Anolis sagrei: one gene and its partner. The protein of the gene in region 2 purifies or fractionates together with the protein of the main gene of each other region. This does not show direct contact. Links are inferred from orthologs where the notes say so. Each region holds a gene or a part of one and is shown on either strand. Other genes may lie near its edges.

Region 1 (3,919 bases), on a different chromosome or scaffold from region 2:
GTTCCTGAGTAGCTTATCTGTACAAAATTAATTTACAATGTGAGAAAGCTACAATTTGTCTTCTGCCATGCATTTTTCTGGGGAGTGGACTCCATAGTTTCCAAGAGATTCTGAAAGGTATCCATGACCAAAAGAAAAAAAAAACCCAACAATAACTTGGCTAACTTGAAGAAAGAACCATTTCAATCCCAATATGGACACAATGTGGTGGCTGCTCAAACTTTCTGGGATCACACAGGAACAGGTTTGTTCTCTCTGACAAACTGGAATGATGTGGCACTTGATTACCTGGCAAAAATGTCAAGTCCACTACAGAATTTCACTGGATGACCAAAGGCCATTGAAGGCTTTCTACAAGCACTCATAATACTAACCCAGTTTTACAGGCTTTGCACAAGGAACCCTAGCACACGAAGTACTCGATGGCTCTCCTAAACATGGCTGTTGCTGCCTGGGGGCATCTTTGGGAGGTGTTAACAGGCACTTGATGATTGGCTGTCTGGAATTCCCCTGTTTGAGTAGTGTTCTTTATTTACTCTCTTGATTCTGGTGGTTTTTTTATGGAGGGTGAAGCGACAGCTCCCCTGGTGGCCAGAATATCCTCATGAAAAAGCTGGATTGTTAAATAGCCCCTGAGTGTCTGTCTATATATGTTATGTGTCTATGGCATTGAATGTTTGCCATGTATATGTACATTGTAATCTGCCCTAAGTCACCTGCGGGGTGAGAAGGGTGGAATATAAATACTGTAAACAAACAAATAACTATATATTGATCCTCTCCCTGCAAAAATTGAGATTAGAGGTACCTATGTTGTTGCTTATGATGCTTGCTTTTATTTTTTGATGATGATGTTGTTTTTATGCTGTTTTATATTTTGCTGTTCTGTTTTTAACTGTATGTTTTCTGGGCATGGCCCCATGTAAGCTGCCCAGAGTCCCTTTGGGGAGATGGAGGCAGGATAGAAAAATAAAGTGATGATGATGATGATTACTATTATTATTACAACAATTTTATTGATTAGCCAGTTGGCCTTATCAAAAACAGACAGTGCAAACACAACATACAACATACGTTTGGTCCTCTTAAAATAGAACACAAATATATATTATTATCATTATTATTATTAAAGTCCATAGCAGAAGCGAGAAATGGATATGTTTTGGGATGTTACAAATCAGACCTTTGTGGTTGTGAATGAAGTAGAGAGTGTTTGAGGACTGGAACATCCGTAGGGATACCAAGGTGCTTGTTTATAGAGCTATTGTCCTCCCAACCCTGCTATATGCCTGTGAGACGTGGACTGTCTACAGACATCACATGCAACTCCTGGAATGATTCCATCAGCGCTGCCTCTGGAAAATCCTACAAATCTCTTGGGAAGACAAGCGGACAAACTTCAGCGTGCTGGAAGAAGCAAAGACCACCAGCACTGAAGCAATGGTCCTCCGCCATCAACTCCGCTGGACCGGCCACGTTGTCCGGATGCCTGACCACCATCTCCCAAAGCAATTGCTCTACTCCAAACTCAAGAACGGAAAACGGAATGTTGGTGGACAGGAAAAGAGATTTAAAGATGGGCTCAAAACCAACCTTAAAAACTCTGGCAAAGACACTGAGAACTGGGAAGTTCTGGCCCTTGACCACTCCAGCTGGAGGTCAGCTGTGACCAGCAGTGCTGCAGAATTTGAAGAGGCACGAATGGAGGGTGAAAGAGAAAAATGTGCCAAGAGGAAGGCATGTCAAGCCAACCAGAACTGCCTTCCACCTGGAAACCAATGCCCTCACTGTGGGAGAACATGCAGATCAAGAATAGGGCTCCACAGTCACCTACATACCCACCGCCAGTACACCTATTCTGGAAGACAATCCTACTCGGACAACGAGGGATCACCTAAGTGAAGGCAACTACATACAAGTTCTGAGAACAGGGAAGCTCTGGCCCTTGACCGCTCCAGCTGGAGGTCAGCTGTGACCAGCAGTGCTGCAGAATTTGAAGAGGCATGAATGGAGGGCGAAAGGGAGAAGCGTGCCAAGAGGAAGGCGTGTCAAGCCAACCCCGACCGAGACCGCCTTCCACCTGGAAACCAATGCCCTCACTGCAGAAGAAGATGCAGAGCAAGAATAGGGCTCCACAGCCACATACGGACCCACAAGAATACTGGAAGACAATCCTCCTCGGAAAACGAGGGATCACCTAAGTAAGTAATAGTCATATTGGGAACTTCTCATTGTACTTTTAAAGGTTGTATATTATGTGATGTCATGGCCTATGGCTGGTACAGTAAACAATTCATTCACTCTTTTCAATACTGAAACACGACCATACAGGCCGAAAAACTCACAGCAACCCTGAATTAATGGTTTGTTTGCAAACTTGGATCCACTTTAGTTGCCAAGGGCTTCGACGTCGTCTGCTCCCAGCAAACTACAAATCCCAGGGCCCCATAACATGGAGCCTTAGCTGTTTAAGTGGGGTCAAACTGCACTCATGCTGGGGTGCAGCATTCTGGCACTCCAGAACCCCGAGAAAGGGGCTGAGAGGCATGACAATGCTGCCTGCAGAAGGCCCCTGGAGAGGGCCTCCTTTCCCCCCGCTTTCCTGTGAAGCAGGCTCCTCCTCCCCGTCCTGAAGCGAAGAAGCAGGCCCTTCCCGCCTCGGGAGAGGAGCCAGGCCTTACCTCCGCGTCTCCGACTCCTCGTCCTCGTCGCCCAGCATCACCGGCGCCTCAGGATGCGAAGCCACCGCCGGGGCGGCCGCCATAATCACGTCGCAATCTCCGCCCGCCGACGCCATCTTGCTTCCTTGTTGCTGCAATCAACGGCCGGCGAGCCGGGAAGAGAGAGGGAGAGAGAGACAGAGCGCGAGGCGAACGAGAGGAGAGAGCGGAAGACAGGAAAAAAGTGCACTTCCGGAGAGGGAGAGAGGAGATGGGGGCTAGAGAGGAGATGGGGGCTAAGTCCGCCAAGAGGGAACCTCTGGGTCTCCTAGGTTACCAAGTGGGAGAGTGGAGGACTCTGTGGCAGGACAGAGTTTGGCTTCTATGCACTATTTATTTAATAAATAAAATACTAAATAATTTATTTAATAAATAGCTACTAATATTGTTCTGTGCTAATCATATAATATATTGTATGTACATAGAATATTGATAATAATATAATGTAAGAGTATAAAACTAATCATAATACAATATAATAATATAAAATTATTTATAAAAATATAAATTATTTATAATAATAATGCAATTTATATAAAGTTTTGGAGTTGTAGTTCACCTACATCCAGAGATCACTTTGGACTCAAACAATGATGGATTTGGACCAAACTCTACAGGGATTTATAGTTGCTGAGATTTATAGTTCACTTACAATCAAAGAGCATTCTGAACCCCACCAACCACTGGATGAATTGCTGCCGAATTTGGCCACAAGACACCTACTAACCCAAGGAGTGACCATCACTAAAAAAACCCTGATTTTGTCACTTGGGAGTTGTAGTTGCTGGGATTTATACTTCACCTACAATCAAAGAGCATTCTGAACTCCACCAATGATTGAATTGAACCCAACTTGGCACTCGGAACTCCCTTGACCAACAGAAAATACTGGAAGGGTTTGGTGGGCAGCGTCCTTTGGTTTTGGAGTTGTAGTTCACCTACATCCAGAGAGCACTGTGGACTGAAACAATGATGGATCTGGACCAAACTCTACACATATACTCAATATGCCCAAATGTGAACACTGGTGAAGTTTGGGGAAAACAGAATTTTGACATTTGGGAGTTGTAGTTGCTGGGATTTATAGTTCACCTACGATCACAGAGCATTCTGAACCCCACCAATGAAAGAATTGGGCCAAACCTCCCACACAGAACCCTCATGTGGGCTACAGCAACGCGTGGCAGGGGATGGCTAGT
Region 2 (3,919 bases):
ATTGAGACCTTGACATCCTGAGACATATTCCAAACCATCTTATGCTTTTCACACTTTTAGTTTAATTTGTATGGGTTTGTTATGTGGTAAATGTGTGTGATGTGTTATGTTTATTTAAGTGTAATTTTCAGTTATTTTTCAGTTAGTTGTATAAGTTCATATTGAGATTGTTTTATCCATTGTTTTTGATGTGATTTGTCATTTGGCTGCTTTTGGCTTTTATTTTATTTTTTCCATTTTTTGTTACTCATTGAAAATTGCCCTGAGTCCCTTTGGGGAGATACGGAGGGTTACAAATAAAGTATTATTATTATGATTATGATTATTATTATCCAATACTTAAAACACTGCACCACAATTACTGTGTACTCGCCAACATTTTGCAGACAGAACCATTTGACCAAGCAGCAAAAGTGGTTCAAAAGAGCAGGAAAAGAGTAGCTCAAACATTCTCCACGAGGAAAAGACAAGCTAAGGGTGCATCTACACTGTAGAATTAATGCAGCTTGACCCCACTTGAACCATCCTGGCTCAATGCTATGGGATCCCGGGTGTTGTAATGTGGTAGCACTCTTGGGCAGGGAAGGCTCATGGCCTTAGAAAACATCACCTCCCATGATTCCTTGGTGCACTATGGCGGTTCAGTTCAAGTGGTGCCAAATTGCATTAATTCTATAGTGTAGATGCACCCTAGGAAAGGCTGCAGCAGACTGTTTGCCTGAGCTGCTTGGGAAGAGCAGGGTGCATCAACACCAGGCATGAGAAAACTTGGGCCCTCCAGAGGTTTGGGACTTCAGTTCCCACAATTCCTAACTTCAACTCCCACAATTTCTAACGCCCTATGGGCAAAAGTATGATAGCTGGGCCCCAGTGCTGGTAGTGCTACGCTGGTTGCACAACGCAGCTCTGAATTAGAGATAGGAACATGTGCGCGAGACAGAGCATCGACTGAGAGATGCAGCTGCGGCAGGATACCAGTGAAGTAATGTAACGCAGGTAGCACAGGATAACAGTGAAGTAATGTAAGAGTGACAAGATTTGATTCATTTTTTATCACTGCTCATGTTTCTCTCTTCCTTCCTTTCTATCCTTCCTTCCAATGCAACATTTTTGAACATGTTTGCCTAGGATCTCTGGATAGCCTACATCAGTATGCTTGCCTGTGTCCCCTCCTCCTTTCTACCGAACTACCTTGTCAAGTCTGTCATAGCTGTGTCTCTCACTGCGTGTGGTCTCTCGCGCACATGTTCCCTTCTCTAATTCTGAGCCACATTACGCAACCAGCGTAGCACTACCGGCACTGGGTCCCAGCTATCATACTTTTGCCAGCCAATGGCCTACATACAGCTGTTAGAAATTATGGGAGTTGCAGCTAGGAATTGTGGGAGCTGAAGTCCAAAACCCCTGGAGGGCCGAGGTTTGCCCATGCCTGATCTACACTGTTGAATTGCCACAGTTTGACACCCCTTTAGCTGCCATGGCTCAATGCTATGGAATCCTGGAATATGTAGTTTGGTTTTGTTTGCCGTGTCAAAACAACTTGAAAAACTGCAAGTCGCTTCTGGTGTGAGAGAATTGGCCGCCTGCAAGGACATTGCCAGGGGACGCCCAGATGTTTTTACCATCCTTATGGGAGGCTTCCCTCATGTCACTGCATGAGGAGCTGGAGCTGATAGAGGGAGCTCATCCGCGCTCTACCTGGGATATGTAGTTTGGTTTTGTTTGCCGTGTCAAAGCAACTTGAGAAAGTTCAAGTCGCTTCTGGTGTGAGAGAATTGGCTGCCTGCAAGGACATTGCCCAGGGGACGCCCAGATGTTTTTACCATCCTTGTGGGAGGCTTCTCTCATGTCACTGCATGAGGAGCTGGAGCTGATAGAGGGAGCTCATCCGCACTCTACCCGGATTCGAACCTGTCGGTCTTCAGTCCTGCTGGCACAGGGGTTTAACCCACTGCGCCACCGGGGGCTCCTTATGTAGTTTGGTGAGGCACCAGCACTCATTGGCAGAGAAGGCTCAAGACTTTGTAAAACTACAATTCCCTTAACTCCATAGTGAGCCATGGTGCTGTCATTCAGTTTGCAGTGATAGCTTGTCTCTTCTCAGGGTACGTCTACATTGAGAAAATAATGCAGTTGAGATACCATGGATCATGGGGGTAATGTTACAAAGTGCTTAGGTTTCCCTGACAGAGAGTGCTGGTGCCTCAACAAACTACATCTCCCAGGACTCCACAGCCTTGAGCCATAGCAGTTGAAAGAAGTGGAGTCAAAGTGCCTTAATCCCACAGTGTAGATGCACCTCCAGCTTCTCCCAGCCCGGTTGCTCTTACCACTGCTCGGCCTTATCCCTCCAGGTCAACGCAGCTCGCATCCTTTCCACAACAGCCACCAACGGACGCTGTCGCTTTTATTTATTCGGACTCCCCAGGCAACACGCATGCGCACTCTTGCCCACGTTAAACCGCCCTTCTTTGGGCAGAGATGCACGAGGACTTGCGCATGCGCATCTCCTTCCTCCCATCCCTCTTCTCTAAATTTCCACTTAAGCACCGCTGGATATACGAGTGAAGAAACAACACAAGTACGCATGCGCAAACAAAATCTGCCTCAGCGCACTCTTGCTTCTCGCGAGATCTCAGGTGACTCTCTGCCCCGCTTTCTTAATAGGCTACTACTCCCGTATCTGGTCTCAGGGGGGTGAAAATGCGCATGCGTATTGAGCAGATGAGTTCCCGCCTTAATAGAGAGGTGAGGCAAAATTCCTGTCGGAGAAACAATGCAGGTAGTTGCAGACAGGTATGGATTTCATCAACAAAGAGATGATAGACTCCTTCTTTCAGTGGCCCCCAAGTTTTCCATCCTCCAGGATTGGGGACTTCAACTCCCAGCAGCCCTCAGCTAGCTTGTCCAACGGCGAGGAATTCTGGGAGTTGGAGTCCAAAAAACAAAGTTTGAGAACTACTGCATGGATGGATTCCATCCTGAATGGCCTGCAACCTGCCCACTTCCGAGAATGAATAGTTTGGTCTGGTCCTTCTTATTTTATTTATTTATTTATTATTTATTTATTTACTGTGCTTATATACCGCAATTCTCAGCCCTGTTCACAAGTAGAACAGGAATTCAGTGCAAATGTGACATCATGATGCCAGAGAATAAATGCTTGTGTTCCATTAGCACATCACTTAAGACAGTGGTTCTCAACCTGTGGGTGCCCAGGTGTTTTGGCCTACAACTCCCAAAATAGAGATTTAAAAAAGGACATGCATTAAAATTCATAGGCTGTTGTAGGTTTTTTTCGGGCTATATGGCCATGTTGGGGACGAGGGACAGGGCCTTCTCTGTGATGGCCCCTCGGCTGTGGAACGCCCTTCCCATGGACATCAGATCAGCTCCTACGCTAATGGTGTTTCGAAGAAAACTAAAAACCTGGCTGTTTGAACAGGCATTCGGATAAACATTACAATGAATATGGTGAACATAGGAACGGAATCATAGACGACGAATTTGGATCACGATTCTAGTTACGAGATGTTAATGTGTTGTTATTGATGTGTTATTACTTTGTATATTATGCCCTTACTGGTTTTTAAATTGTATATTGTTATGATTGTCTTTTTGCTCATGTTGTGAACCGCGTTGAGTCGCCTTCGGGCTGAGAAACTGCGGTATACAAGCAAAGTAAATAAATACATAAATGTTCTAGAGGCATTCTCTCCTGACGTTTCGCCTGCATCTATGGCAAGCATCCTCAGAGGTAGTGAGGTCTGTTGGAACTAGGAAAAAGGGTTTATATATATGTGGAATGACCAGGGTGGGACAAAGGACTCTTGTCTGTTGGAGCTAGGTGTGAATGTTTCAACTGATCACCTTGATTAGCATTTGATGGCCTGGCTGTTGTTTGGTGTGGCTTGCTAGT

What was found.
Region 1: the proteins of IFT122 (region 2) and DNAJC7 purify together in Homo sapiens (co-immunoprecipitation; 3 studies listed by BioGRID and IntAct, counting the BioPlex papers as one, with this or other methods). This does not show direct contact. The link is inferred for Anolis sagrei from reciprocal best matches to the Homo sapiens genes IFT122 and DNAJC7.

Annotation. Positions count from the first base shown.
Region 1 is NC_090026.1:45,047,604-45,051,522, forward strand, and holds the start of DNAJC7 (dnaJ homolog subfamily C member 7), read right to left. Parts: upstream 2,907-3,919; 5' UTR 2,798-2,906; coding exon 2,682-2,797; intron 1-2,681. UniProt on the Homo sapiens protein: Acts as a co-chaperone regulating the molecular chaperones HSP70 and HSP90 in folding of steroid receptors, such as the glucocorticoid receptor and the progesterone receptor.
Region 2 is NC_090022.1:49,984,001-49,987,919, reverse strand, and holds the start of IFT122 (intraflagellar transport protein 122 homolog), read right to left. Parts: upstream 2,574-3,919; 5' UTR 2,372-2,573; coding exon 2,331-2,371; intron 1-2,330. Other genes in the region: MBD4 (methyl-CpG-binding domain protein 4), read left to right, coding at 2,777-2,796. UniProt on the Homo sapiens protein: As a component of the IFT complex A (IFT-A), a complex required for retrograde ciliary transport and entry into cilia of G protein-coupled receptors (GPCRs), it is required in ciliogenesis and ciliary protein trafficking.